Linked DNA regions of Struthio camelus. The protein of the gene in region 1 interacts with the protein of each later gene in a pairwise test. Links are inferred from orthologs where the notes say so. Each region holds a gene or a part of one and is shown on either strand. Other genes may lie near its edges.

Evidence for each region.
Region 2: the proteins of RAPGEF4 (region 1) and BMERB1 interact in binary tests that used the Homo sapiens proteins (3 or more experiments, as listed by UniProt). The link is inferred for Struthio camelus from reciprocal best matches to the Homo sapiens genes RAPGEF4 and BMERB1.

What each region holds. Positions count from the first base shown.
Region 1 is NC_090947.1:22,440,679-22,456,915, forward strand, and holds the start of RAPGEF4 (rap guanine nucleotide exchange factor 4), read right to left. Parts: upstream 6,797-16,237; 5' UTR 6,695-6,796; coding exon 6,630-6,694; intron 1-6,629.
Region 2 is NC_090956.1:11,638,882-11,655,340, reverse strand, and holds the start of BMERB1 (bMERB domain-containing protein 1), read left to right. Parts: upstream 1-7,403; 5' UTR 7,404-7,408; coding exon 7,409-7,682; intron 7,683-13,948; exon of another isoform or gene 13,949-14,069; intron 14,070-16,411; exon of another isoform or gene 16,412-16,459.

The DNA.
Region 1 (16,237 bases):
CAAGGATGAAGCGGAAAGTCACTTCAGGAAACATTCATTGAAGATATTGATTAAGCAGCAGGACAGTAAGAGTTGCAATCATGTCAAATACAGCACAGAAAATAATAACAGAAGAAGGAAGTATAAGAATGATGAGCTTGTTAAGTGCAACAAATAATAAGATGCAGAGGGAAAACAGATGTCATGCTGGATATGAAAAAATACTTGTATTTGATAAATATCCAATGACCACCTGTCTTTCAGGACATGATTTTCAATTAGCTGGTTTGTTGATTTTTTATTCCTCTGCTGGAATACCGGATTTTGTTAAAATAGAATTTTAACTTGCAAAAATAATTCTTCATGAAAAAAGTAAAAACATCAAAACAGAACACTCGCTCTCTTTAGGAATGCTAGTTATCAATAACACTCCTGCTTTTACTAACACAAAACAACTGGCATGCACATTATTTTCAATGAAATCTGCATTTCCAGGCTCTGAGTAACATTAGTTTAGAAGTCATAAATCTCTTTCCCCTCTACAAGTATAGGAATCTTCACACAACTCTACTTTTTTTTTCCATTCAGATCACACCCCACCTTCACATTGGTCTAGCAATGCAAGTATGACTGGCAGGACTGCACAAAGAGCCTTAATTAGGGTAGATGAGAATTAGGCCCTCAATCTAAAGGACCGAAGGAAGAAAGATAGCAATATTTTAAAAAATGCTGCATCATTAACTGCTGTACAGAATTCTGCACAGAATATAGGACTTCAGGGATTAAATGCTAACAACATGCCAGAAGTAACTCAGACAATGACAGTTTAGGTAGGTTTTCAGTTGTGTCTGGTAAAAGAGAAACCCTATCGTTGCAAGACTATACACTGATCGTCCAGCCACTCCAGAAGATTTCCACATAAACTCGAGTATAGTATGTCCTAATGGGCACTGCACTCATTAGTCCGCTCTGGTGGGCCAGGACGTTTATATACATCAGTTCCAGGGCAATCATTTTGTCTTCCTCTTAACACATTTCCATAAAACTTATGACTTACTGTAAAACCACATGGAACAAATGGGAGCTGATACTACAGAGAAGCCTAAACCTGTGATGACATGGAATAAAATAGCTTAAATTTGCTCAGGATACAACTCACGCTCTTGCTATGTGTTATTTTGAATTCATGTATTCAACAAAATGCAGAGAGTTGAGAGCTTACGGCAGGCTATACTAATACTTATTTTGGTCTCTCTAAGGAGAGGTGGAAAGAAAAAGGGCTTTTTTTATTATTCATCAAAGACTGCACCTTTGCATTGGACTAGAAAATGAGTTGCATGATGCAGAAAGAAAAATTTGGTATTATGCATCACTCTCAGAAGACCGCACTTTTGCATGAATGCTAGAAAGCAGTCAGGCTATGTCTATACTGTTCTGTCTCTGAGTTTCCACATCCTGGTGCCTGCTGCAAATATATCCCCACCCAGACTTGGTCCAAGCATACACCATCTTAGCCCCATATTACAGAGAGGAAACCCCAAGCACAAAGGCCAATAGGAGCTGCAATGTATGTCCAAGATTTTGTTCTGATCCCACCTAAGTGGAAAATGATGAAGTTATTTATATGGATTTATTATAAATAAAAAGCAAGTCTAGAAATTTAAAAATATATAGAAATCACTGTATTCTTTTCAATTTCTTAAAATATCTTTAAAAGTAAATAGTGCCATAAAGCAATTTTAAAATATTAATATTAATAAAGTATATATCCCAGTATCCTTGAGATAATACGTTGCAGGAGATGACAAGCTAAGTAAAATAATTTTCCTTCTTATTTCTGCTACCAAAAATTCTCCTTTTAGATTAACAGTTCTTCTTTCTAGCCTATCCGTATAATCACAGAAGTCCTGTTGACTGCTAAGCCTGTGAGAAAAACTTACATCTCAAGTATATGTTACAATGAACTAAAAGACAAATCCTAATTCAAGGATGTTGTTGTTATCTAGTTTTAGTCTGAACTTACGTTCAAATCTGTGGGAGCTTGGCTTAAGGAATAGATCTGAGACATTATCTGGTAGGTGTTATTTTGGTTTTCTTAGATGTAAATAACGCAAGTCTAAAGTCTACCAGGATGACAAGGATATAAAAACTCACTATGTACAATACGTCCTCAAAACACTCTTCCATACTTAAATAATTTATAAACAGCTTAGCAAAGATCACAACATTCTTAGCACAACAGGCTAGCAAAAGTTACATGCTTTGCTCTGTGATCTGCTCCTCCAGTCGGCTACGGCACTGAAGGTTATATTTAATACAGGAGAAAACACATGATACCATAGCAGATATTAAATCCTAGGATGATCTGACTGTTGTGAACACTGTACATCATTTAAAAGTTTGTATTTGAATTCAGTTAAAATCCTTCTTTGAATTAGAAGCTATGATCAGGTTTACAGAAATCATAATTATATAAAAAATACTTTGCCTACTATGCAGTAATTATATGTCTACATGGAGACCTACTTAGATAGTTTTTGGTTTAAAAGAAGCCTTGAGAGTAGGGAAGACATTGTTCCTTGGCTAAATATACACACATGCATAAACCAGCAACCTTCTTCTAATTATGCACAGATAGGGCATACAGAAGAATGCTTCTGGTCCTTAGGAAACCAGTGGTAAGACAATTATTTATTTCAAGGATAGAAGGATTGGTTTCCTTACCAGAGAAATGATTTACATGTCCTGGTGCAACCAGAATACACATTTGCTAACTGCTGATCATCTCTCTCTGCTGCAAAAATAAAATATTATTGACAGAGCATAGTTTTCTGACCTTTTCTGTTCCTGCCTTTCACTACCTTCGGGCTCGTGACTTTATATATAAATACTGTCCTCTGTATTTGACTTTTAAGTGCCGATCTTTGGCTTTTGTGGCTAGTAACCACATCCGGAAGTTGCATGGTTGAAGCATTGGCGGCCCTAGCCCACAGTACCCCACACAGTAATAACATTTCTCATAAAACATTTTGATAGTTCTTTATTAGTTTAACATCTAAAACATGCTTGCATTTTAGATGTTAGTAGTTCTAGTTTGGTATGTGACTTGGGGAGAAACATGCCATGCACTTAACGTCACATCATTACCGTACATAATGGGTTTTGCTATTTCCAGTTAAAGTAAAATTCCCTTTTTTTTAAAGAATGAAGTTAGATAATCCATATTCCATGTCATTTAAATTGTCTTTGCTGAGACTCTCCTTATACAAGAGAAGTTGTAGAATTGCCTTCCTCCTGAAAATATATATATTTATTTATTTATTAAAACACATCAAAACTGCCTTAAATAGTTAATTAAAATACATAATTTCCTACAGTGAATTGACTCAATGAATGGTCCTATACTTAGAGAATCCACAGCTAGGTTAGAAAATGCTTTAAGATAAAGAAAAAGACAAATACCTAAAATGCATAGAAATTACACGATAACTCAAATTAGTAAAGCAACAACAGATCATCCAAAGAAAATACACTGTAGCAATACAAGTGTATAAATTATTCAAAAATGCTAAACCTAATACTACCTAGACTCTTATAGTATGTCTCCAATATAGCTTTAAGTGTATTTTTTAAATGGAAAAACAGAAGAACAAAACATGTATGTGTACTTCCTATGGTCACAAAGTAAAAGTATGGCAGGAACAAGAAAAAAGCGTACAATCTCTCACATCCTGGGTTCGTCCCACATCCCGACTGTCTTCTGGAAAGCATGCTGCTTCAACAGTCCTTCAGGGCAACTGTAAGTGATATTTTCCATTCAACAAACAGGTGCTACTAGCTTACTCCAAGTGAGAAAAAGGGAAAAAAAAGTTTCATCTTAACAGCTCTAACAAAACTCCTATAGTAAAAATCGCCTGTATCTTAATGATAGAGAGATAGACACACACACACACAGATAGATAGACAGAAAGAAAGAAAGAAAGAAAAGGGCAGAGAAACTTCTAAATGAAATACTTCAATGTGTTTCCTAAAAACATCATTCACTCCCCACGACTCCTCATTAAGCATGAACCCCTGAATTTTAATTCTCAATTTAAATGTCATAATCTATTACATTTAAGTAGCCTAAGAAATGACGGGCCCACCTATTTAAAAGTACTGGGGCTCATTCTCTACTTCTTCACGCTCATTCAGTGTCAGTCTATAGAGTGATGAATCAGGTCCTCAGCTTCCCTATCATTTGTTTTTGTATGACTAGGTTACCATCACCTGAATTTATGTCTAGAATACTTTCAACATTTATACATATTATTTAAGTTCTAAACAGTTATGTTTTTTTTTCCTTTAAATTAAATCCTGTGCTACAGAGAGGGATCGGGGAGGCTGACTGACATTATTTGTGGTAGGTGACCGGTCTGAAAGTTTCTTTAGCCTCTTGCAGTTTGTTGCTTGGACTATTAAGGGAAACACAATTAGAGGTGCAGTCCTACTCACACTAAGATAGTTACCTGGAAATGGTAGAAATGATGAGAGGAGACAATTTCTTCTACGTATACAAAAGATTCTCTCTGTAACACAGCCCCAAATGATGTCAGCTGTCAAAATCTGCCTAACGATACTCAGCAAATAGCTGTACTTCTGTATAAGTGATATCTGATATCTTTGCTTAAACTGTGTACAGTTATTTTTGTTCTAATTTTTTTTAATATTGTCCTAGACTACAAGAGACACAGTGAGCAGTCAGAAATAGATTGATTTCACTTTTGAATCGAGTAAGTGTTAAAGGTAATGATATAGCAAAGGATGTATAAACCATCCACCATGGTTTTACTAGACACTGCAAGATTCACTTTCCTCTTCTTCTCCTAGACCCTGGGGAAAGCACTTCAAAAAATGTCTTAAAAAAAATATATATTTACTATCTATATTTTTTAAGGGAATACCTCACCTTTGAACACAACAAGCGATAACTAACGCGCTGCGTTCACCGCGAGCCCCATCGCGTGGTCCAAGAGCAGGCCCTGCTGTGAGCGCTCAGCCCACGGCCAGCCCCGAGGCGTGCCGCCCCGGGGAGGCTGGCGCTGCCCGCCGCAGCACGACGCCCGGCCAAGGGACCTTCACCCGCCCGCACGGCGGAGTGCTCGGGGCCGGGCTCTTTCCTTCCCTGCCAGATCAACGAGGCGGCTGGGCAAGATGCAGCGAGGTGAGGGGTGGTGAGATGCGGCGCGGTGAGGTGAGGTGTGGTGTGGTGCTGCGAGGTGCGATGTGGTGAGGTGCGATGCGGTGCGATGTGGTACAGTGAGGTGAGGTGCGGTGCGGTGATATGTGGCAAGGTGAGATGCGGTGAGGTGAGATGTGATGAGGCGCAGTGAGGGGCGATGTGGTGAGGTGAGATGCGGTGTGGTGCAGTACGGTGCGGTGCGGTGAGGTGCAGTGCGGTGAGGTGAGACGTGGTGAGGTGAGGTGACATGCGGCAAGGTGAGATGCAGTGAGGTGCAACGTGGTGAGGTGCGACGCTGTGCGGTGACGTGAGGCGCACGATGCGGTGTGGTGGTGATATGCAGTGAGGGGCGGTGAGGTGAGGTGCGATGCGGCACACTGAGGTGAGGTGAGACATGGTGAGGTGGGGTGTGACATGGTACAGGGAGGTGAGGTGCAGTACGGTGAGGTGATATGCGGCAAGGTGAGATCCAGTGAGGCGCAGTAAGGCGCAATGTGGTGAGGTGAGATGCAGTGAGGTGAGATGAGGTGCAATGCGGTACAGTGAGGGGCGATGTGGTGAGGTGAGATGCGGTGAGGTGAGGTGCGGTGCGGTGCGATGCGGTACAGTGAGGTGCGACGTGGTGAGGTGAGATGCGGTGCGATGCGGTGCGATGCAATGTGGTACAGTGAGGTGAGGTGCGGTGCGGTGATATGTGGCAAGGTGAGATGCGGTGAGGTGAGATGCGGTGAGGTGAGATGCGGTGAGGCGCAGTACAGTGAGGTGAGGTGAGGTGCGGTGAGGTGAGGTGAGACGTGGTGAGGTGAGGTGCGACGTGGTGAGGTGAGGTGACATGCGGCAAGGTGAGATGCGGTGAGGCGCAACGTGGTGAGGTGCAACGTGGTGAGGTGCAACGTGGTGAGGCGCGGTGCGGTGCGGTGGTGATAGCAGTGCGGGGCGGTGAAGGGGCAGGCGAGGCGGTGCGGTCCTGTGAGATGCCATGACGGAAGGGCGCGGGGCCGTGGGGGGAGGTGCCGTGAGGTGCTGTGCGCGGCGCGGGCGGGAGCCCGGCGGGCAGCGGGGGGGCCGCCATGGCGGGCAGCGCGGGGGCCGCCCGGCAGCCCCAGCCTCACGGGCCGCCGCGCCGCGCCGCCGCCTCCCCGCCCTGCAGCTCCCCTCCTCCAGCACGTGCAGTATTCCCCGGGCAGCAGAGCCCGGCGGAGAGCGGCTGTCCCGCTGGCGACCGGCCCGTCCTTGCCGCTGCCAGGAGCGAGTTCACCCCCTCAGCCTACCCCCCTCCCCAGCCCGCCGCTGCTTCCTCCGGGCGTTGTGCCTCCCACCTGCCCGCTCCTTACGTAAGGCAGGATCCGCAGCGGAGCGGAGAGGCAGGTTAGCCGCGCACAGACACACAGACAGACACACACACACGCTCCTGTGAAGGTGCCGATACCTTTTATCGAGGCAAGCGATCCACTCGCCGGAGGATGCGGAGTGGGAGGTGTGAGCAGCGACCATGTTGGGCAGGGATCAGACCGCGCTGCGGCCGAGCTGGCGGCGGCTGGCGGCGGCGGCGGCGGCGGCTCCCCCCGCCCGCCGGTCGGTCGGTCGCTCCGTCCTGCCTCGCTCCCGCCCTCCCTCCTTCCCTCCCTCCGCGCGCGGCGCGATGGGCTCGCCCGGGCCCCGCCGCCGCCGCCGCCGCCGCCGCCCGCCCCGCCGCAGGCAGCGGGTGCGGAGCGCCGCGTGGGCCGCGTGTCCGCCCGCGTGGGCTGCGTGGCGGCCTCGCGCCCCAGCCCGCAGCGCTGCGGCCCTCCGGGGAGGGCCGGGGCCGCGGCTGGGCCAGAGATGCCCTTGACCGGGCTGCGGGGGAGTACAGGCTCTTTAATTGTAAGAAGTAGCTCACGGGTCTTTTAGCAGCTCCGCAGACTGCCGTGCCCCCCGCTAGCCCACGCTAGCAGGATGGAGGGAAGGTGTACTCCTTATCTGAGGAGTGTTTGGGAAGCCTTCCCCCAGCCTGCCATCCATCCCGTGCTCTTCCGCGACACCGTGTCCTGAAGGCTCTGGTTTATTGTAGGTGAGGATTGAGCAGAGCAGTGCAGCCTGTGGATGGGACTTAGCAACGGGGAGGAGCTCAGCATGCGGCAAGAGAAGGGTAAGTCTGGGGTACCATGTAATACAGCCACCTGGCTCTGTGGCCTTCGCCTGGCCTGCAAAATGCAGCTGCTTTCAGGGTGCTAGTACAGGCGTAATTGGAAAGGTGATGAGCAGAGCAGCAGGTCTCCCTGAGTGCCAGGTTTTGCAAAGCTCAGTGTGAAATGTTTTCTACAAAACATGTCAGGATCTAGATTGTATCTTCCCAAGTATTTGTGTGTAACCATAAGCTTCAGCTTAAGAGTCAACACAGCCTGCCTTGAGTAGCATGGGAGAAGGGTAGGGAGCTGCACAAAGCTCAGCAGGATGTTTGAAGTTACATGCAGATGATAGCAAAGTAAAACTAAACTGTGGCTTCCTTCAGGCTCCTAACTCCTCTCTGCTTTATAGTGTGGACACAAACAATTAATTCAGATGCCAATAATCTGACAGTGACTTCCCACAATTCTCCATGAGCTGTCTTCTTTGCTCTCTGTTCTAATGTCTTTTGCTGCACCAAGTATCACTTTCTCATATACATGCACTACTTCACATTTCACATCTATGTTCAACGGCCAAATTTCTGCCACGGCTCCTTCAACACTTTCACAGAAATAAATGTTAACATCAAGGTTCTGATCAGTAGGATCAAAAATCTAAGGAAATGTATCTAAAATCCCTTGTGCTAAAAGGACGTGCCTAAGAAATGAGCAGAGGAGACAGAGCAGAGGAAAATGGCACAAAAGCAGATTCTTTTATTTTGCCTTTAAAAAAATTAAAGTACATGCCAGAGGAATGGAGGAGGCCACCAGTCACTGAGATCAAAGCTGCAGCTCTTCCTTTGCTGCAGTCCCTGGTGGGGAAAATGAGAAATTCTTGCATCTAAGCAAATCAGTCTACTTGAGGAAAATCAATGTTTTTCATTCTTCAATATATAAGTGTTTGGGAGCCAACAGCAGAGCAAGAGGTTCAAGTGTAAAAAATAATCTAAATTCCCAATGATTTATAGTGTAGTATGTACATTATAGGTGACGCACTAAGGCTCACTAATTTTGCACTTCCCTTATAGAAGGTTAAACACATTATTCTACATAATTGCAGTTTTCCTTCCAGAACAATCACACAAGGCAGCCGTTACTGCCCTTGCTCCCCACAACGCACTCCAAGCTGTAGTAGATGCTCTTCTTACTGACATCAGGCCTGTGAAGCAGCCCAGAAGTCATTCCTAGCAAAAGGCCTTTACTTTTTATCATAGGCTGTTTTACTGACACAAACAGCATTACACATACCAGTAGCAGCGATTTTGTACATAACCACAGTGTAGCTTAGTCAGCAAAATGCTGCTGCTGCAAATGTTTAGTGTTCACTCAAGCCATCTTCTGCCAAGTACTTTCACATCTGTGTGATGTTCAGTGACCCAACCACTAGAGGACAGACTAGGTCTCCATAAACAGCAGTAAGCAGGGATACTTCCTTGGTAAGCAGAAGAAAGCAGTCCCTGCTTGAAAAGGCAAGACCTTTGGAATACTCTCCTGGGATGCAATTTGTGGTAAAACCTGTGTCGGTGCACATGCGCCTACCCCTGACAAGCAACCTACCTGCCTGGGACAGACCCCTGCAGTTCCCAGTACTTTTGGTCCCAACGCAGCGCATGTAGGTGTGAGAGGATGTTCCTCAATTGCCTACCTGTAGGCAGACACTGCTCAGAGATGTACCTTTTTGTGGAGTGACAGCTGTATAACATGTTGTGGATTATGCAAGCTAGACGGGCCCTGATTAGGCAAGGAATAATGACATGAGGAACCCTGGGATATATCCATACTCCACTCAGAAGTGGCGTCTTATACAGCAGTTAAAGCAGGACAGTCAAAATATACCTATGGCAGTTCAATTATGAGTAATTGTGTAGATTTCTACTTAAGACGTGAGTGAAACTCCTCAGAGAAACTAGTGAAGCAAGGAATAAATAAATATGTGATGAGTTCAGATATTGCCTCTGTTGACGAGAGTCTCTCAATTTGCACAGAAATGTCAGGAGCTCCTGACTGCTGAAATCATAACTCCTGAACCCGGCCCATGGCATGTTCTCCTGAGGTACAAGCTACCAAATAAGCAGTATATATCTCATAGGACAGATAACCCAAGTCAAACAGAATGCAGAATATCCTGTGACTCTTGAGAACTCAGTCCATAACATGTCATTTAAGAGCAGTGGTCTTACGTTAATGGGGTCGAGTGCTCACTTACCTACTAGTAAGAGCATATGCTAGAAGCAAAATGCTGAAGTGCACTTCATTGCTGTCAGGACCGATCTCCTCCTGGTGCCTCATAGTGCCCATTCTTCATTACTTTTCTAAGCTACACACTCATTTGAAAAAGAGAGGACCCAAAGGATATTTGAGACTCAGTTTTGTTAGTAGCCAAAAACACACTCATGCTCAATCTCACCTGTTTCTACACATTCCTTCTATTACACCTTTTGTGAAGTTTCACCTGAGAAAACATGAAGGATGATGTACCATTAAAATGACTGGTGATGAATATATGTTTCTCAGAAATGGATTTTTATTTTTCAGCATTTGTGGAATTCCACAATAACGTTGCAGATTTAATTTTTTTCTCTAGAACAGAAGGCGAATGGGACATCTTACAATCCGATTTTATGAGACTTCACTATGCAGCCAAAAAGTTGGGATGGTAACTGCTCCCAAAGCAGACAGCTGCTGAGAAATGGAAATATGCCAGCCGAGATATCTGAAAGATCGGCTAGCTTTTTAATTTTCCACAGTTTACAAAGGACTGACAGGGCCATACTGAAGCTCTTAAGCCAGGGTAAAACAGAAATCAGCCAGCCTCCAAGTTCTCCTGTCCCTCTAAGACTAACAGTCAGAAAGTGCGGGGTCCAGACTGTTGTTTGTGTTATGGGACATAAGGCAGATCACACCATATTTCAAATCTCAGCTATTTCTTTGCTTTTTCTTCCCAATACAAATACTTATTCCTTTACTTTTTCACTCAAACAAGGCCAAAGAACTCTTACTCAAAATCTTCCAGAAACCAGGAGCCTACTAAAACTGAAAAACTTGATCTGAAAGAGTAAATGATAGTTGCTAGAGCTTGAAGAAAATATTTATTAAAAGTATTTATTAAGGTGTGCACAGTAACAGGGCATGAAAGAGGTCTACTGTGGAAACCTCTTTACGCTATTAATTATATCATGAACTTTCAAACAACTGTTAAACTGTTAAAAAGCAGTAAGGCTTGCTGTATTTTTACAGCAGTTTTGGATGCTCTATATACTATTCTATACTATTGAAATTGCTGTTATGATGTAGTGAGGAATTAGTGGATGCAGAATCTGTAACCTGTCCTTTGGCATCACAGTGGTGAGCGCACTAAAGCAATTTTATTTTGCAGCAAACTCACTCAAAACCCCAAAAGCTCAGTCCTCAGTTTTGGCCATCTGTGTTCAGGAGAGAACCTAGGTGAAGCACAGCTGGCTCCCAGCCACCAACGTACTCCTCTGCTTCCTGTATCTGTTGAAGTATTGCTCAGCCTCAGGACTATTCTAATTCAGACTAACCGAATTGAATCTAATTCATAGCGCAAGACATTGGCTACAATCCTTTGTCCCTAAAATACAATTGGGAGACAGAGTAAGATAAGGCCAGCTCCACCAGCTTTAAAGCATTCAAGATTTCCATTTCTTGTGAGGAGTCCAGAGTTAGTCACTTAAGCTAATTTTAAGCATGTTTTTTTGTTGCTATACTGAAGTCAAGTTAATTAGCGTAAGCCCAGAATGAGCACACAGATTCTAGTTCAAAGAACAGTTTAAGCTAACGTATCACTTAAAGATCCTGTAAATAAAAGTCAGTATGAGTGAGTGTAACAGAATTATGATGCAGATTTAGAATCTAGCAGTGTCACTTTCAGCATGGCTGGGGTTGTGGGAACCAAATGTATTACCACTTGTACAGCTCCCATTGACTTCAAAGGAGTAATCAAGATGTAGCAAAATAAAGACAGGAGAGTTTGAGTTCTTTAGGGATTTGTAAGCTGCAAGCACTGCAGAAGATGTGATGCTATGTGATGTGCAAAACCAAAACCAATGCATGTATTAATAACGCTGTCCTGTGGAGCCTACAAGACACATATTGAGTCTCCCCTCCAACACAATTCTTTCGACCCGTCATATAACATAGCAAAGACTTTTTTAGCACAAGTTAAGACCTCCTCCTTCCTAGACCGTTCCCTGCTCCTCTCTCTCTTGCTCCTGTCCTCCTCATTGATTCAGGACCCCTCCACAGTATGCTTCATAGCACCTTCTTCAAAAAGACCATGGCACTATCAGCCTTTCCCCCTGAGCAAGTGACTCTAATCCCACCCATTATTCGGGAAACCCTTCTACCATACTTCTTGCAATAGCTCTACCATGATATTCCAGAAAAGGTGTCAGTATTGCCTGCAGCAAAACAGGTGTAAGTGGGATACAGATACACAGTTAGCAACAGATATACTGGAAAGAAAACATACAGTGTCCTATATAGTAGGCATAGCATGAACACAGGTGCAAGACAGAGAAAAGGCAGTACAGCTGAGCCAATTTTTATGTGAAACAATAAAGTTCATATTCTGAGGTCTTTAAAATTATTTGGCAGTTTGCTGTTGTCTTCAGCTGGGCTGGAGACAACATTTAGGAAACATTTCCTAAATGGCTGGAGACAGCCATTTAGGAAACTGGCTGGGCTGTTTCCTAAATTCCTGAAACCAAAAGAGGTAACTGGACTTACAGTGTATGTGCAATTTTATATATGCCATACCTGCATATGCAGATTTTCTGAGCAGAAAAGGATTGCTTATCCATGCATCATGTATAGTGCTGCATTTTGCATCGTTTTACTCATCCTAATTTAACACTGGCCTTCTCTTAATCAATGTGAAATAAAGGCTTATGTCATAGTAAAGGCCAGCAACAGGGAGCATTTTATTAGTTTTATATTCCTTGAAATAAAATTCTCTCAAATTCATAACATTAATTACAATACATTTGTGATAACATTTCTCACTAACAAAAAATGATGCAGCAGTCACTTTTTGTATTATGACTTGGCACAAGTTTAGCAGCATGTTGCACTCAAATGCTATGAATTTTTTTCCAATATGATGACCAATATCAAAACCTTTCTGTGGAGTGGCATTTCGAACAGATGGTCATTTGATTTGCACACCTGAAATCTGAGCCCATATTCTGGGATGAATTCCAAAAAGACTTGGAGAAACCACCCAACATGAAATAAGCTTGACAACCTTATGGATAGGCATCCATCTCATATTTTTACTGTAACTACTTTCTTTTTAATAGGAATTTTCTCCACACGATTTTTGTTAAATTCTTCTGGATTTATGAAACTAGATGAGCAGAGGGAGGTATGAATGGGGCTATTCTGCTTAATCTGCTTCCTCAGTTATGTCAAGGCCTAATAGCTGGGCTGGGAATTCCTGTTCCCATTCCTATTTCCATTCATATTCATATTTCACAGGAAAAAAAAAGCCTATTAAAACAAATAAATAACAAATTCCAACTTCCTTACAAGAGTATTGTAAAGATTAATTAGCTGATGAAGTATGCTACTTTGCAGTAGATGCCCCACTTTACGTACATTATTCTTTAATTTTTTAGTGTTTAGATCTACAGACATGTTAACACCCTGGGTTTAAACAGAACTTTATACACACAGCTCAGGACAACGTAAGGAATTTCAAGATGATAAATATCAGGAGAATACTTTGCAGTTGCCCAAGATACGAGGCAGACTGGGTCTCGAGCCCTGTTAATGTCCCTTTTCAACACAACACCCAGGAGGCAGTAGAACTTAAGTGCCACACTGGACCCCGTGGCCTGCCGCCATGCTCCTTACCCTGGGAGCACAGCACAGGTACCTCAGTGCTTCTGCAGGTGCCCAAATCAAACTGATCAGCTGGGGCTGAATCACAGACCTGGCCTGCAGGGTCTCTGGCTTTCTGTCCAGTCATAGGAATAGGTTGCCTGGAGTCCCAGTCTGGCTCTCCACACACCACAAGGGCCTGGCAAGTATGTCATTTCAGCTCTGCACTACCTGAAAGCAGCTCTGCTGCTTCTGGGCCTGGCCAGACCCTGATGTTGACAAGAGCATGCACTGGGAGGCTCCACTGTACCTTATCTGCTCTGCACTGTCAGCTCAAGTGTCTCGCTTTCGCTGGGACGTACTTAACTTACCAAAGCTGATGGAATTGGTCATTGGATTATAATTATTCCCTCCTCCTTTCACCCGAGCTACAAAAGCAAGCAAAATTCTTACTTTCTGTATGTGTAATTCCATGTCCATATTCCTTTATCCTTCCTTGCCAGCTTTGCTGTATTTCAGTGAGCCTAAGTTTTCACCAAAGGCTAAAAAGAAAGGTGGTTTTGCTTAGTTGCAGAGCCAGATGAACACATTTCTAGCTGTCTGGTCCAAGTTGTATCTTGTCAGCTTAGTGTTGTCATTCTGCTAGACCCACATGGATATACTTCTGGCAGGAACAGCAGCACTTCATGGCCTGCCCCTAAATTTGCTGCAGCTGCTATTAGAGCCATTAGGCTATCATGATTTATTTTCATCAAATGGCTAGTTGTCATCATTTTACTGGATAAAGTCCAAGGCAAGGCCTGGGACTTCCTGTAAGCAAGGCAGCCCATTAGATGTCCTTGTGGTTACTATCTCCAACAATAGTTTGAGAGAATTTATTGTAATGATCCTCTCTAAGTCCCTTAGTTTCATAATATTGATCTTTCTAGATGACATTCAAATAGATTTCATCTTCAACCTCATTTGATCACTGTAAGGAAATATCTTTCATTCGTAAAGTTTGCTCCCCATTTCTCCCAGCAATCGGTTCTAGAAATCAAATATATCTGCTCATAATTCTTTTCACAAAAGTAGTGGTGATGCATAGGTATTTAAAAAACAAAGCCCTTTGATCCAGTGTTAGGATTCTATTTATCTATATTTCTATATTGTTCATGAGATGTGTGGCATAAAATGCCATTTGACTGCAATCACCCCATTTTCCTCCATGATGAGTTATAATTCATGAAACAACCTCTCAGCAGTAGAGACTTTTATTTGCGTGAGCAACCACACAGAAAATCTACCACACCTCTCTTTGGAATAAAGATTATTTCAGTGGAAAAAGGGACAAGATACTAAGATTCTTGGCAAACGTCCTGTGGCTCACAGGCGTTTCAATAGCCTTCTCTCTCTAGCTGTAATTCTCACAGTGCCTGTTTGGGTTTTTTTGCTTTTTTTATATAGAGGTGAGTGGCCTTAACTGTCTCACAGATTCCTCCTTTGTAAAACTGACATACATAAAGAATTATCTTCATCATAAAATAAACACTTCTAACAAGCTTTGTCAATGAGTCCCATATAACTGGGACATGTAATACAAGACCTTACATGCAGCAGTGACTAGTGATCTGCAGTGCTTAAAAACACAAACAAGAAACAAGTCCTTTAATTACTTTCAGCAAATTCTATTTTTTAGTCAAGAATATAGACAAGTATAGGTCCAACTCCATAAAGTGGGGTCCTGGGGCAGCCACTCAGATAAAACCTACAAGTGATTTCAGTGCAAGCAATAATTCCATAAATTCTTTCAATGAAAGTCAAAGACATTCAGCAACTCTACGACTGTCCTAATCAGGTAGTCATTGTTTAAGCTTCTTAATTACATAGGTGTTCTTCACTACTCTGAGAAGGACAGGATTGTAATTAACGTTATAGGAGTACTCTAATGAAAACATACGGAGCTGTATATTTACTTATACAGTGCAGTAGGGCCTTGTTATAGCTGAAGAACAAACCAACTTCAAATGACAGAACATGTTTATGTAACACTTCATTATGCAGCTTCATATATATTCAATGCAGCTATTCTCTTCATTACTGTACAGTAAGTAAGTTCTTTCTGTGAGGTTTAGTTCACAGAGGTAAAGGTTTAGTTTTTCAGAGAGCCTGCTGGGGGCACCAACACACACCCTTAAAAACAAATAATGACATTAGGCAAATAAGACAAATTCAATCATCTGTATGGTAAAAATGACATAGTAGGCCCCAGATTTATATAAAATAATTTCATACTTCAATTTTTATAGGCTTTTTTTCACAGTTTTGAAAATATACCTTGCAACAAATCTGCTTGCAGGCTTATACATGCAAATAATTCAGACCAAATGACTGAGGACTGAGCTGAATACAGCATAGACAGCCCTAATAACATATTCAGGCTGAGAAATAAAGGTGAACCAATTGGTAAGAGGGAGAAAAATTTGTCATGGCTGTGGGCTGGGTCCTGGCTGGGACAGATAGGTGACATTTGTTGCTAAAAACCAGACTGTTGTGTTGCATAACAGGAAACCCAGCTGTAGTAGCCCTGTAGTCCAATAGCAATCATGAGGTGTGTAAAAGCAAGAGGAGAAGACCTAGCTAAATTAAAAATATGTTAGTGATTAGACAGTAACATAAAAGCAAGCAATAAATACTCAGTTTGAAGTATGGGGTTTTTCACATATAAGTCACATGGGTTCTACAGTAAATTACACAAATCTGCAAGCTCGAGAGTACACTATAGAGTGTATAGCCAGTCTTTACAGAGCTCTTCAGTTGTCTTCAGTGTTCTCTGATTTTCCTGAAGGAATAAAGTCTTTCCATTTCATGTCCCCTGAAATTACCAGGTTCATGCTTGAGGGCAGCTTTTTAAATTATCTTGAACTGCCCATTTTTATAAATGCTTCTTTCATAGTGGAAAGGAGGAAAATAGAGGCAAGATGGGAAGGGCAGACAAACAAAAGCTGAAAGAGAAAGCATGTGAGAGGCTGGCACAAAAGAGGGTAGGAGGTGAGCATCAGACTGG
Region 2 (16,459 bases), on another chromosome or scaffold:
AGAGAAAACCTTAAATACAGTTTCTTGGTGCAGTCACTCTCTTCTCCATTTTGCGGTGTAGAAGTCCAGACTGATTGAATCAGAGTCCAAGAAGGAGCATGAATATGTAGCCTAATAGATAGTTCAGTCACCAGGGATATGGGGAGAGTGGAGATATGCTGTTCCCAGTTTCGTTGCTGTACTTTATGCAGTTACAATCAATGTAAGATGCATAAGCACTCAGATGGCTGTGATAAGTACAGTGCCTGGGCCATATGGACTCACAAACCATGCACACAAAGTTCTCCGCCACATGAGCTCCTTTATCTGTGGAGGAAGTGTCAGCTTTGTTCTGAATTGTGTGTCCTTTTATAGGGTATAATTTTGTGGCCGGGTAAAGTAAAACACACTTGTCTGGAATCAGTATATACTATAAGTAAGGTATGCACTAAGTGTGTGCCTATGTAAGAACAAACCCTCACTCTATTTCTTCTTGAGTGATTTGTCAGAAAAGCAGCTTCCCTCTCATTGCACCAATATTCAGAGAAGAATCTACAAGCCTTTTGACTGGAGTTCCCCATTTTCCATCCCTAGTCTTTTCCTTTTTCTTGTTCTGTTCTGACATTGAGAAAGCTACCTCTCAAAGTCTGCCTGCACATGCTGTTCTCAGCCGACCCCGTTGCCACTAACCAGCCCCCAGCCACAGCTCAACGTAAAGCTGCTGCAGAGTTCAGCGAGGAAGCCTGCAGTAGGACTACACACCAACGCCGTTTACAGGGGTTTGCAAAAGGCAGGTTAGAAATCTCTTTTTGAAGTAAAACCATGGTTATTTAACTACTAAGGCTGTTTAGCTACTTCCATATGATGCATCACATGCTTTTACATCCAAAATGTAGCAAAGGTTGTTAGCTGCAGCTGGTCTGCCAGTAAGCCAGTGACACTGAAAGGTGTTGCTCTAGTTGTATGCTTAGCTCATAATCGTCATAATACAGTAATGAATGGTTATGTGCGTGTAATAATTACACCTGATTTTATACGGCAATTACCTATACAGTGCTTTGCTTACTGTTACATATGCAATTCAATAGCGTTTATTGTCTTGTGTATTTGCAAGTCTCCTAAGAGGGCGCAGACCCCTTTACTTCACCATCTAAACGTGCTGAACGCAAGCATCTGTGCTGTGTGGCTGTGGCCACCGTCCCTGACTCCAAAGCCACCAGCACGATAACGACTCACCGGCACAACAGCCGGTTCAGTCATTGCGCTGAAGATGGCTCCGAATGCAAAAAATAAGCCTGTTGCAAGGAAGACTTCCCTACCTGTGGTATTAGTAACGTATCTGACAGATGCTGTAACAGCTTCTTCTGTAAAATTTGTAGCTTAAAAGGAGAGTGAATATAGAAATAGTTTATTAAGAAAAAAACTAAAATGGGATGGAAGAGTTTAGAGACAGAAGTTTCTGAAACCTGTGTTATGGTCACAGCTACAGCCACTGCCCCATGAAAATTGTTTCCTTTCTCTCTACCAGCCATATATGCCCTGTCTTTTTTGTTACTGCATCTCCTCCTGAGTTTATGCTGTCTCTTCTGACCATCTATCCAGAAAATTGCTGAGACAAATCGGAATAAATGGAAGGTCCTGGGCTACCCATTACTAATCTCCCAGGAACTTTTGCAAATAGGCTCAGCACAGGCGCAGGCCCAATTTTCAAACACAGGCACTTAAAAATTTGGCATACCCAAGCACAGGCCATTAACTGTTTTCATCTACAATCATTTATCAGTTCAGCTTCATTTGAAACATGTCTTGGACTAGCCAAAAGTTTTACAAGCTTCATCCACCCTGGATTGTGTTTTGGGAGCTCCATCTTGCAAGGGTCTGTCATGATACTCGGAGCAGACTGGCAGCCCCTGGTCCCCAGCCTTAGGTACCCCCCCTGGAGCAGCACCAGGCCAGGGGCAAGCTCTCGCAGCTCTTCCTCTTGCCACGGACCCCAGCAGCATAAAGCCAGAATCAAATGACAGAGCTTTGCAGACAACATTGAACACACAAGCCACAAGTATGGGGACCACTTCTTAAGCGCTTTTAAGTACTTTTAAGTGCTTTTTTGGAGCAATTAAATGCTCCTTCTACTTAGTATTATCTAAATATTTGCTATCTCAGAGCCTACTTAATTGGACAGATTTCTAAATATGGAATAAGAAAAATAGTAGCCGGACAGTCAGAAGCTGTAGCTCCAGTGCTGCCAGTTAACATTTATCACACACAGACATCAAATCATAAGCAGGAATATGAAGTGATTCAAAAAATAGTAAATTTTCCCTAGAAAAACAATTTCAAGGACACAGAGAACTTTAGCATAGTTCAACTCAGACGAGGTGAAGCATGTCACATCTAGCACATAATTAGCCGCACGTGGTTCACTAACGTTTGCCATTAAATGCTTGTCCTTTGTTTCCATAGTTCTACTAGAAATTCAGCTACAGAGAAATAGTAAGAAGTTAAATACATTGTCATTTTTTTCCGTGTGCATGCTTGATAAAACAGCTAATACTACATTAAAATCAGCGCTACACTCATATTTCATTTGGACGCATTAATTTAAAAATTTCAAAAATCAGAATAAGATGACACTAATAAACATTTAGGTAGAAATATTTATGAACATTCAAATAGTTGGATCACCGGCTTACCTCAGAGTCATGAAATTAAATTCAAGGCACCTCATTCACCTTTTAATAAGCTCTTTGGAATGCCTGCTTGCTTTTAAGCTATAGATGTACTTTTCTATCCTGCCAGGGTAGCAGTGGAAAAGGACCAACATCCTAGCTATTTAGCTGCAGCCAGTGCGAATTATTTATGAAGTTACTTTAGCCTAAAATATATTTTAAAGGAATGGTTAATGTCTGGGGAAGCTGTAAGTCTAAATAAATAAATAAATAAGTAAACAAAGGGCAGTCACTAAAGATTTTTTTTTCTAATCAGAAAAGATTTAGAAAAAAGGAAACAACGTCATAAGGACTCACATTGGCTTATGAATCGAGGCCCTCATTCTGCACAAGCTGTGCTACGGCCGATTCCCCGCACCCCAGCCGAGCCTCAGCCAAGCGCTCACCGGCAGGACCAAGGCTTCCAAGGGCACTTCCATGCTAGCACAGAACTGAAGGTGGAAACAAGCAGGAGGAAAGTATCTTCTGGTTGAAGGATCCTCCTGTAATTGTTAGCTATCCCTTTCCCTGCTATTTTCAATTTAATTAAATAATATTTCATTATAACTGTTTGAAAAGCAAATGAGATTAACTTTTGCCTAATATTGATCATTTAGGGAGAATGACAATACAAATGCCTAAGAAATAGTTAGAAAGACACAAACCTGATTTTCATACTATGATTACTTGAATTCATGATACACCAGGGTCCCATCTACTCAGACAAGCTCATGCTGTGCTACAACACAGGCTGGGGACACTAACACACGAGAACCCTTTTCCCCCTCGACGTACATCTATCTCTATAGACTGGTCATAGCGATTCAGAAAAAGGTGACATATGACGGTACAGGTTTACCACTACAACTCCCAGGACAGCGTGTTGCCCCTATAACCGCTGCTCCAGCCGTAGCCAGAGAGCTGCACAGATCCTCACCGGCAAGGAAGTGTGGGGCTGAGTAAGGCTTTGCCCACTTGCCCCTCCATGTGCCACACCAACAACATGGAGTGGGAATTTTAGCTACAGCAGTTTTAGACAATCCTTAGTCTAGGTTATGATGCATCGGACAAAGCCGAGTCTCTGAAAAAGTCATGAGTTCGCTGAACTTCAAGCGCAGATAATATTCATTCTTGCAGAGATGATTTTACGTGGCTGGTGTCCTACAAGACCACCATCCTGTTCAGGGCTTGCGTAGGTTTGCAGCCCACAGCTGCTCTGCTGCATCGAATCCTACAATGCACAGAGCATCACGAAGTTAAGTGTGTGCCTTCTAAAATGTGTCTGACTATCAGGTTTGCCAGCAGGTATGCATTTGCCTGTAACACTCTATCACAGCCTTTCACCTGCACCAGGACATTTTTGTGCCATGCACATGGCGCTCAGTAGGTGTGATCCTGAGGTGACAGAGAGCACAGTAATGCTACACAGTAACTGTGTGGAGGCTGACGCCCCTAAAGGCTCCTGTGTGTTGCTGGAACAGCTTGGGGGGATGCACAGGGTACCAGGAATAGCTGGGGAAACTGTGGGGATTCGGGACTGCAAAGAACCCTAAGAGTTGAATGCTGAAGATTCAAGAGGCAGGACGATATTTTCACAGGGAAGTAAGATTAACCTTGACATCAAATATCAAAGAATTGTGGTAGATCCTCTGATGTATAAATGTCCTGAATCAAGACTTGGTATTTAGGAAAATATAGGATAGATTCATAGGAGTCTCACAACCTGTGCTATGCTGGCAGTCAGATTACATGAGGACAGTACCCGTTCTGTCCCTATAAGGTATGGGTCTAGGAATTTATGCATACCAAATGGAATAACTACGCATAATCCACTTCATTTCATTTTATTTCATCAGTTGAGTGGCAGGTTTTTATTATAAATAAATGAAAACTCTGGGCAGAATGTTAACACTTGCTCTTATTTTTGAGTTAGAATGACTGTACTGTCTGCCAAGGAACAACAGCCCTGACTCTTACCTTCACTGTAGCCCACCCCAGACCCACGAAGAAGCTTTCAAGAATCCTCCTGGTGTACCAGATGTGCCCACAAAGGCAGGACAGCTTCAAGCTAGATGTCTCAGGTGCTTGGTAAGCTACACGAAAGCAAAGACCATTGCCCCTCAGCTGATTTACAAGCCATGCTGCCATTAGAAATTTTGCCCAAGTAAGGCATGCCCCATATATATAGTGTCATGCCTGTCGTGGGAGATCACTGCTGTATAATGGAGGCCAAAAGAGCAATAGATAGGAGAGTAGATGTGCCAACTGCAGTAGACCAGCTATAGCTCCTGATGGCAGGACCTAATTGAGAAATGGGTAAAGAACTAAGGGAACTCAAGCAGCCGGGGGAGCTGACTGCAAAAGCAAAGTGCAGAAACAGTGCTGTGTGTTTCTGCCAGGCATTATCTTCTGAGCGGTGAGAAGAGACTGGAGTATTTATATTTTCTTCCTTCACAGTGCTTTCAGTAGAAGAAAAGTAACCCTTCTGAGTAGAAGAATGTGTTTATATTGCTGAGGTGCACTGAAGGGCATCATCAGTAGGGGAGAAATTTAATTCCACTTGCAAATGCAGCACTGAAAACGCCCTCATATCACAACAGCAGAAATGTTAATCTTAGCACATTAGCAACATAATTGGTACATACTATGCCCCAGTCTTGCAAAAACTGTGCAAATAAACTCAGCGGGACTGCTCCCACATGCCTGCTCATATGTTTAACTGTCTTCAGGGCTGGGCCCTTAATGGATTTTATGACTTCTTCAAAAAGGCAGGTGAAAACTTTCTAGTTACAATAAATCATCGTATATATTCTTTGCTTTACATAAGGAAACTGTGCATCCCACCTTCTAATTAGTGGGTGTTTTTCTTCCATTCTAACCAATATAGGGCTTAAAATATGTGATCATTTCTAGCCTCCTTCTACCATCTCCTAAACAAAGCACTTCTTTGGTTATAATTACCCAGAGTACTTGAAGGGACGGACTGAAGCTAAATAGGCCCAGATCCACCAGAAATTGGCCCTTCTCCCTAATAAGTCTGTTTCCCTTAGTCCAACTCTCATCCAGATCCCAGATGGGCTCTTGTCTTCCTCCTACGCTCGTGTTCCTCACTTCTACAGTGAGTCAGTCCAGCCCACCCCAGCAGGCAGCTGCACTGTCACCCAAAATCAGCTGTGCACAGTACTGCCACCAGCTTTTCTGCTTGACTCACAGCTCTGTTTGGGCTCCATCTCTAAAGGTCAAAAGCAGCAAAGATGCAGTCAGCAAGAGCTCTTCCAGGAGGCCTGGTAGTCAAATCACAGCAAACCCCTGGGGAGCACAGCTGATAGGGAAAAATTGCAGTGCCCAGAAGACCTTCTAAGATAACGTCCAAGTCATTTTAATTTGGCAGTTGATTCCAATTCTCACACACATACAAATATAACATGGAGAGCCATTTTCAGAGTAACAGTTTTGAAATCGATATTGTCTTTCTCCCAAAATGTAAAGCAAGCCCCCTGCAAAGCAAAACAAAACTGCTCATGAACCTAGTGGCAACGTGCATCAGTCCATTTAGTAAGTATACCACTGAAAATAGTGGTAGTGCTTTTGTAGCTTTGGTGGTTAAAGAGCAAGATAAAGTTTATAGGCAAAGGCATGGGAAAAACGGACAAGCTTTCAGGCACGCAATACACATTCAGCACTGCCAGTACCCCATCACTCCTCATGAACCAGACAGGGAGTCCCAACGTCTAAAACACTGACTTGCTGTGGGGAGCTGGGCAACCGGCCTAACTCCTGCTTCATCTTCTCTACATTAGCAGTAAGGATAGCACTCACAATAAAACGCAATGGGAGTTTACAAGTAAAGGCACTCTGCAACTGTAAAATGCTGTGCAGTGGTTTCATACAAATAAAACCTTTCCTACCACAAATGAAAAGAAAAAATTAATAATGGCAACGATAATTAGTGCCACACTTGTGCTTCCTGCATAGTCACTTCCTTCTCTTCTAATCCCAGGAGGCTGCATGAACAGTGAAGCTGCATGTTTATGAAAAATACATACGGTTATGAGAAACACAAAATCACATCGTTTGTTTGGGTGCTGTCCTCTGGCTTTTGCGAACATGAAGCCAGAACGGGTGTCACACCACTCTGTGCAGGACTTTCAGGAAAGACAAAGGCTGCACGAACTGCACCAGAAACGTGTCTTAGTGCAAAAGCCAAGGGTGCCTGCGGAGCTTACTGGCGCCCCTGCGCTGCTCAGGCCAGGAGATGCGCTCAGTGCTGCCCTCGCCACAACGAGACGAGACAAGCCCGACCTCGGCGCTGTGGCAGCAGCACGCTCACTAACTCTTGCTTGCCTGCGTTGCTGCACCTATTCAACGGGAGTAAATATCCCGGGGGAAGGAAAGGGCAAAGACGAAAACAGCTAGTCGACAGTTCTGAACTGCACGGCAGCATGCCGGGGACCTTTCGAGGCCAGCCTGTCCCTCGGGGCAGAAGGGAGGGATGGGAGCCGGTTATCGTGCGGCTGGCCCACCCTGGAGAGACGAAGCAGCGCGGCTGTGCGGGCGCGGGAAGGCAGGAGCCGGGGGGGAGCCGGCGGGGGGCAGAGCTGGCGGAGAGCGCCGGGGCAGCAGCGGGCGGCGGGCGACTCCCCGCGCCCCGGGGGGGGAGGAGGAGGCGCCGCCGCCGCCGCGCTGTGCCCCGGCCTCGCCCGGCCCCGCGAGCACTGAGCATGTGCGCGCCGGCCCCCTGCCCTCCCCTCCCCTGCGCGGGCTCGGGCTCGGGTCCGTGTCCGCGCAGAGGGGCGGGAGCTCGGCGCCGCCCGCTGCCGCGCGGGCCGGCCGCAGCCGTGCGCTCCCGGCGGCATGGAGTGAGCTGCGGGCTCCGGCGCGGCCCGGCCATGGAGCTGCGGCGCTCCATCTCCGCCAGCGCGGAGGCGGAGAAGCCGCTGAGGCGCTACGGGGCGGTGGAGGAGACGGCGTGGCCGGCCGAGGCGCTGGGCAGAAGTGAGTGCGCGGGGCGGCGGGGGCGGCGGCGGGGGTGCCCCGGGGCGGGGGGCGCGGGCCGGCCGAGCCCTCGCCTTGCCCCGGGGCCGGCTGGCGGCGGAGCAGCCGCTGTCTCCCGCCGACAAAGGCGTTGGGCCGCGGCGCGCCGCGCCGCCGGTGACCGCTTCGCCCTCCGCGGCCGGCGGGGGCCGAGCCGGGTCCGCTCCCGCCGAGGGACGCGGCGCCGGGCGCTCCCGGCCTCCACCTTGCTCGGGGAAGGCGAGCGCTGAGCTGAGGAAGGATGCCGGGGACATGAGCTCCCCGCCGTCGCTTGCGAGGTGGGGTTTAGTGCAAGGCGTTTTATAAATACCGGCAGCCTTCGCTGTACTTGCCGTTGGAAAGGCACAGATGGCAGGCGCGTTCTCCCTCTTGCCCTCCCAGGCGGAGGGTGCAGGAGCGCTGCCCTGCATTCCTTCCCTCAATGGTTGTACGGTATTCAGGAGCTCAGCAAAAGCTCTTTGGGTGCAAGAGCTTTTTTTCTTGAAATCATGATTTGTCAGAAAGCAACAGTTGATGCCTCCTTTCCAAAGTGCTGGTGGAGAGAGTAGTTACAAAGATCAGTAGCTGTCAATTCAAGTTATCCATGGGACTCCGTCTTCTCTAAGGTATCAGTTACTGTTTTATTGGCAGAAGTATCTCATACCAGTTCTCATTTTCAAGTTAACCAGAAAGGCTTTTTTTCCAAGGTTTTTCAAGGAACCTTAGAAAGACATTCACAAAAAGCTCTGTACTGATACAAAGAAAAATGTGTTCTAAGTTTCCACAAGAGTTTGATCAGGCCCCGGGAAGAAAAGCTTTGTGTAATAGGCATAGTGACATCCTCACCGAGGTCGATACTGGGGTTGCTGGTATTCCTGAATCACCATCCATCTTTTGATGTACATCGTGAGGTCTCGCATGGATGCCTTGTGACATCCTGCAGCTTAGCAGCATCCTGGTAGCAGGTTTTAGCCAGTGCTCCTGCTATGTTCAGACTTTTCCAACGCTGCTGTGTTCCTCAGGCTATGTTCTGGAATCATGCTTTACCTCTGGCTTCAGTTTTTCATGCATATGTTATCACATACCATATGCTGGTGACAGAGAGGTGTAAGTCTCCCACTCTGATGGTTCAGCTGCGGTATTGGTTTTGTTGCAGTGCCTGGCATGGGTTCAGGACTGAATAACTACTCACTTTCTGAAATGGAATTGAAGACTGAAATCGCTGTTGACTGAGTTGGTTGGTTCAGCCACATGCAACAGTTTTGCAGGTTCCCTGGCTGCCTTGTGCTGTTCTTGTTCTCATAAATAAGTCTGGTTTTGTTGCAGAGTCAGCTCACAGGCTGAGTGCAGTGCAGAGCTTGTAATAATAACTGGTACCTGGAGGTGACAGAAGGGTTATATGTCTTGCAAGGTTTGGATGAAAGATCGTTTGCTTGGCAGAAGGGAACACTGAGACAGAGGGAGGACTGATCAGCTCAAAAACGTGTGCTCAACATTGAGTTTCCACCTAAATTGCAACTTGACCGGGTACCAGAAGGGGCTATTGGCAGGACTAGAGCCAAGGTGGCGAGGCTTCTGCATCTGGACTCTGCAGCTGAGTTGCCCTTCTATGCACTAGATTTAGTTTAGTGAGAATATTTGTGTGTGTGTGTGTGTGTGTGTGTGTGTGTGTGTATGTATAACAACTTAGATATAGAATAGGAAGTAATCTTGAGACCACCGTTTGTTCTTTAGTCACCTTAAAAATCTACTATAATAAGACTTTGCTGCTTGAATAGTTGATCTGTTTGCTCATAGGCTTCAACTTTCCTGAAATACTGTAGAAATGCTATTTACATTAGTTGTTTTAGATGAGTCCTGCATCTCTTACCTATTTTAATATTAACATTGACTTGTAATTGGGCTTTTGAGTTGATTAAAAATAATAGGTCTTACTATTTGCTTTAAATGCTCCTGCACAACACAGATCCTAAATTTAATGGCGCAGTGACAACAGTCTTTAGAAACTCTGGGAAGAAGCTGGAAAATCATAATTCTCTTTTTTTTCCTAATGTCATCAATTAGCCATTGTTTTAAATATGAAATGCTTAGCATTAACAGAAGCAGGTGCCCGTTACTGCATATGCGTTTGCCTTTTTTACTGTCTTTTGACTGTTCGTTGTGTCTTATCATAACTTAAATCAGGATCTTTTTGGAGGTGGAACTTGTCATGTATTTGTACAACACTCAGCACAGTAGAGTGCCATTCCCTGGCCAATGCCTGTATATTTGACTGTAGTGTAACTAGTCACATCACAGGGGAATGTGCATCCTGATTATGTCCGTTACAGAAATAACATACTGGAAGTTAGGTAGTTTCTATTTGATTTGTTAAATGGAAAGGGTACTCTGTGCTAACATCTAGATCTGTGGTACAAAAAACTTGCTGATTATTGGTCATAACAAAGATGAGTTACTTCACGGCAATGAAGTGTGCTATGGAAATTTATTTTGTGTGATGGCTTCTTTCAGCCAGATCATCTGTAGAATTATGCTGGCTCATAGTAGCTGAGGATCTGAAGCCTTACAATGTGAGGGTGCAATGATCTCCAGTGGGTTCACATGCAAAGTATGAAGCAGATTGTTTTAAGGTGTCCCTTTAACAAGACGCTGAAGGCTCTTTCTTCACATACAGAAGGGAACTTTCTAGGAGTGGAGAATATGGTAAAGATGACTTCTTACCATATACAGAACAACTCATGCATTTTCTAGTGCATGCATGTAAAAGGCAGTCAGGCTTGTGAATGGACAGACTGTAATAATAAAGGGGTTACAGCCTTCTCGGTAAATGATCTTTACAATATAGGCTTGGGGAGCCTGCTCTGAACCAGAGCACTCGAGCATTTTGGTCAGTCCTCATTACCAAGTGCACGGCTTCATTTAGAATCATCTGTCTTGCCACTGGCAGGGACTCATAACGCCCTGGTTAAGTAACTGCGTGCCAAGCCTGGGAAATAGCCACGAGGAAACAAATCAGTTTTCATTGTCCTTTTGAACATCACACTTCTCAGATATATTTCTGCTGTTCTTTTTCTTCCTCTCTCTTTTTCCCTGAGGTCTGGAACTAAATTCAAAATTCAAGGTGAATGCCCCAGTTTCAGTCAGTACAAGCAGGCAGAAATGCTGGAAAGCTGCAAAGGAAGAGTTTTGATGCCATTTAAGCTGGCAAAAGAACTACAGTATTCTGGGATGTGTTTGCTCACTAAATGTCATGAAATTTGCTCGTTGTTTTCATTTGAATGGTGACTCAGTATTGGAGGTGAGCTGCCATACCTGTTGCAAAGACCACCTTTTCAACTGTTCTTGAATCTGAAGTGGAGATTAGGCCAAAAGGGCCCCATTACAGGCCAGTGCTGGAAGACCAAGTTAGAGATTCCCAGCAGATGAGACTCAGTAGTAACATATAGCCATCACAGGCAGCTTCCCTTCCTCCCCTGTCCTGCTGGGAACGTTGTACCACAGATTATACCCAGGCAAGGTGCCATGAGATGGCAATGCACTCCAGTGAAGGTGCACACTGCGGGGATTTTATCCACATAAATTAGACCAATCCTGAGATTGCTCTGGTGTGTTCCAACACCAGAAAGACGGCACTGTTTCCCGTTTCACAGACATCTTTGGCTGATGCGTTTGGAAAGCTTATTTCACTGTATTTGGGTTAGTTTATCTTAAAAACCTTTATAAACTTCTTATTCAGAAAGAGATGCTTGTATGTATTTACATGCTCCACTGCTGAGCAGTGAGAGTGGTTCAAACACTGAAAATATGTGCTATTTAACATTTGCGTTTCTTGGCAGCATAATAAGGTGGCTGTCTCACATCTTTCTGCATCCTTTTTGGTTCAAAACCAGTTTGTTTTAGAAGTGGTGTTCTGCATGGAGATAGTTCCTCTCAGCTTGCAGAAGCTGAAGAACTAAAAAAAACCAACCATAGATGGAAATCACATAGATAGTGACCCTCTAGCTGTGCCTTCTTTGCTTTTTGGTGAGCAAAGTATGAAGTAAAGGCCTTTACAGAAGACGGATCCTCTGGTTACGGGTACTTCCTTTATCTAATCCACTTGGAGCTGCTTGTGTCATCTTTAAGGCCTGATTTCATTAATGGAACAGAAGGGCTTCAGCCTAGAACAGAGTCTAGCTGGTAAGGTTTAATGTTACTTAATAACATTTTGTAATCATTTGAAGGATGTCTGTTGCAATATTAAAAAATCAATCAAGTAGCAACACAGAAACGCATTTGTCTTGCACAGCAAAGCATGCACTGCTAGCGCCCTGTGACGTCTGTCATACTGGTCACTAAAGAGTATTTAGGATGGGTTCATGTTAATCATATGCCTTTAGATATTAGGCAAAAAAGGAGGCAAATGCCAATTTCTTCTTGGATTTTTGTATCAGCTTTTTTAAATTTAGAGGTTTAGCAGCTCTCTGTATATCTAGCACAGATAGATTGACAGCATGTTGGTTCCTGTGAGATACTGAATGTGCTCCTGTGCATTTGTGCTTAGTCCTAAGCGACTATAGAAAAGCTGGCTTATTCAGACTGACAATCAAAGGTGGACACAATTCTGTATGGGTGGAGGGACAGCTGAATGTCCTTGTTCTTCCTCCCATATTGCTTCATGAGAAGGAAGGGTGGCTCGTGTCGCCCCATGGGATGGGGAAGACTCCCAGAACTGTAGCTGGGAAGACGCAATGGTGCTTAGGCCTGTCAAGTCGGAAACTACAGAAATTACAGAGTAATGCTAGCAATTCATGAGTTTTCAGCAAGAGGTGAAGAGATCATGAGCTGGGAATGACAAGGTGCTGAAGTTTACTCCCCAGTTAAATCCAAGGCTACATCAGTTACAGGAGTTTCTATCATTTGGTAGTTAAATTTTCAAACAAACAGCTTTGGGTCTTCTCCCATAGTGTCCCATGCATCCCACAAACATCCACAAAACCACTTCAGTGCTTTGCCTAAAACCTTTTGATTACTGTAACATCTCTCCAAGCAGTCAATAATGTGCTATGGCCCTGCCTATCATGTGATGTTTTCCCACAGTCTCTTCATGTTCCCATTCTGATTTAAAAAATAACGGAGGTTTCAAAGGCACAGATCAAAGTTATAAAGCCTTGCTTCCACTGCTGTCCTTTCATAGTCATGCCCTTGTGTTACTGTTAATTTCCCCAAATTGTTAATTATATCTATTAAAGGTGGTAAGAGAGACAAAACTGATTAAGCTTTTTCAGGGGATCTGCTAGGATAAGTCGGAAAGACACTAACCCCAGGAGATACACAATCAAATTTCTTTTTATAGAAGCAGCAAGTTTGTTGGCTTTATGAAGATCTGAAAACAGGCTTTAAGCAGGGAGAGATGGTAATTAATATTCTTCCCATGTCTCCATTAAAAAAAAAAAAACAAAAACCTGTGTAACGATTTTGAAAAGAGAGTGACCAAGAAATTCAAATATAAACAGTAAAACAATAATGATGGATCCCACTGTAGTAGACATTATTTTTCTGAGCACTCTGTTTTTAGAAAACATTCACCAAAATATTGTAATCATCCACAAAGACAGCTGATTCAAAGCATGAGGCTAGTTCTACATCATTATCTTTGCTTGTTCATAATTGTTAATGTTAACATATATGGTAGTTCAAGAGGAAAGGCAGCTTTTCGTCTCATCTGTGAAACCAAGACAAAACTCTACCCCCTTGCACACTGAAAACTGGTACCCTTTCTGAAAAGGACAGAGCCTTTTTCCTCAAGTCAATAGCAAAACTCACCTGCCTCAGTGGCACTCAGATAGTCTAAAATTCTGTTACACAGCTTAGTGTTTCTACAGATCACTGGTGGTTTTGGCCGGCATTAGAAACTAATTTTTCTGACTTTTTTTTTGCATATCTGCTTTTATTTGTACCAGGCCCTGATCCTTCTCCTTCTAGAAAATATTTCTTAAATACAGAATCTACCACAATAACCTCCACTAGGTCATCCCTGCGCAACCTGTGGGTCACAAGGGAAGGGTGTATTTCAGTTTTGTTTTTCTTCATAGAAAGCCAGGAGAATGATTTACAGAGTGAGACTAATCCAGTTTCTAATATCTCCACATTGTCTCCAATTCCTCCTCCCACAGCTGGGTGCTCCGGGCAGCTGCTGAGATAGACGAAGAAGGAAAAGGGAGAACTGGAAATATTTCAGTGCTGCTGAGTACCTTCCTGCTGGAATATTGGCCAATAACTGAAGGACTGGTGACAATTAGAGCAGCTGCTTTCAGGCGCTGCTTCATTTTGGTCTTCCAGTCTGCAGAGCGCTGTAGCACAGATCTCCGTAGGGAGATACGTTCCTATCTGGTGACGGAAATAAAATCAGTCAATGGGTCACTGATCAGCCCTCACCTCCATCATCTCCCTATCACATTTCATGAGTTTTGCCCTTCCTCCTCTTTTCTGTCTAGCTGTGGCCTATGTGTCTCGTAGGCTTCTCACCAAAAAGTGCAGCAAATTTATTCCCTAATTTGGCCCATGGTTCTGAACCTAATACTTGCTGTTCTCATGAACCAACCTATCTTACAAGGCCCAACTTATTCTACAAAACGTAGACAAATGAGAAGTATGGCAAGCGTTACCACCCCAGCCTGATCAAAGCCAAAGGGCCTGGGCAGGAGGAGTCTGGCTGCTGGATACTATCAGGGCTACCTGGCAAAAAACATGTTGGTTATTATGGGCAGTAATCAAGATCTTATTGCTGCACATCTATTTGCATGTGTTGGCAAAGACATTTCTCTCTGCTGAGATATTCATAAATCAGAGGGTTAATGACTTCCAAATCTCTGTGCCCAACTCTGTGTACAGTGAGGAAATAAACATTTAAAATGTAACTCAGTGCTTATATTCAAACCAGGGCCAACCAATCACTGTTGGATATGTTATAGATGAGGCTCAAGTGTCATATTTGGAACTGCTGCTCACTAATTTTCATATTTTTAAAGGTATTTTACAGAAAAAAAATGCATTAGACCTGGAAAGCAGGGCACTTTGAACTACCCACATCATTCCTGCTACTGCTAGCCTGTGGGATTATAGACTCAGTCTTTGTAATTTTATGTTTCATAACTGATCCCTTCGTCGTATAGCTTATTTTTATCAGAGAAACAACTTGTGAGAATGTGTATGTATGTCTCTGTCTCAAGATAAAGGTGCTTTATAAAACAGGATTAAAAACATGCATTCAGGATCAAGCTCTCACTGCAAAGTACTGTGTATCATGCATGAAGTTTAGAGTTTTCTTAAAGTTACTGAGCACTGTGAAAGTTGAAACTCAGCACCCTGTAATCCTGAATCCCAAAGCACTTTTCCTCTGTAGAGGGATACATTTCATTTTAGTGAAAATCCTGGTAAAATATTCCTAGAGAATCAAGTAAATAATGCCAATTCATTTCTAGGAGACATGTTCTGCTCTCTAACTACATAGAGGGTATAGTATAAATGCATTCACAATTCAAAGACGAAAAATGCCTACTTGGAGGGCAAACTGTATGAAGAATCAGTAGGAGCACCCTTGGATAATTATGTTAGTTGCCCTTCAGGATCAGAAACGAAACATTAATTATCAAAATTTTGTCAGTACGTGTCAGGGCAAAATGTTTGAGAAAATCATTCCAAGAGGATTTTGTTATTGAATGAGGATAAATGATTTCAATGAGACAGGTGGCTTATTGCATAATTCTAGTGAATGCAAACGCTACCAACATGCAAGAGGTAAGGTGTTATTGTAAGAACAGCAGCAGTGTTTAAGGATCTTTTTATTGCCCTGAAGCCCTGCCCCTTCCCCAGCCCTTTATTAATTAGTGATTTCAAATTGTTTGACAGAGACCTTTTATTTTTATACATACATATATATATATATATATATATTTTATATGTATATTTTAAAAAATATATATATATATATATGTAGATAGATAAAATTGGAACAAAAGCTTCTCATCACAAGGTGACTTAATGGATATGTTCCATGTTCCTCTTGGAGAAAAGAACTCCAAAGCCAGAAGAGGAATCAACAGTCAATTCTACCATTTATGCCCTTTACGTGTGGCCAAAGTTGATTTTGGAATAATGCTATAGAAGCCAAATGAGCAAGACAGTGAACTGACCTCCCTGTGAAATGACAAAGATGCGTAACTGACACTTTCTTAGTTACAAAACACAGTCCAAATTTCATTGACATCAGTGGAAACGTTCTCACTGATTTCAGTGAAAGAAAAAGTGGGCTCTGTGCCTACGTCTCCTGGAGTCCTGTTCACACTCTCTTTGGAAAACTCTTTGGGAGGGAATTTGGGGCTGTAACAATATCATGAGGGAACCTAGGGAACTGTGTTGGGCTGTCCTGTGCGTTTAGCCTCCCACCCATTGCCTCTTGCTGGGCAAGCACTGCAGAGTTACTGCTGAAGTAACTGCTGTTGGACAGGCTCTAGGAAAAAAGACTGAGACATTTTCCTTCAGCCTGATACTTGTTTGTAGCAAAGACAGAGTATGTGGGATGAGATGGCATAGGCACAGCCATGGAGTTTTGAAAGCCAGCAAAATCACAGTCTGTTTGTCTCTGCCTTGATATGTATTGCAATTACCAAATTTCTCTCTAATAGTAATTTCTCATACAAGGAGAAGGCGACAGGCAGTGATCCACTCACCTCGGTGGTAGAGTTCAGGACTCTGCTGCACTGCCTTCATTTCCTCGC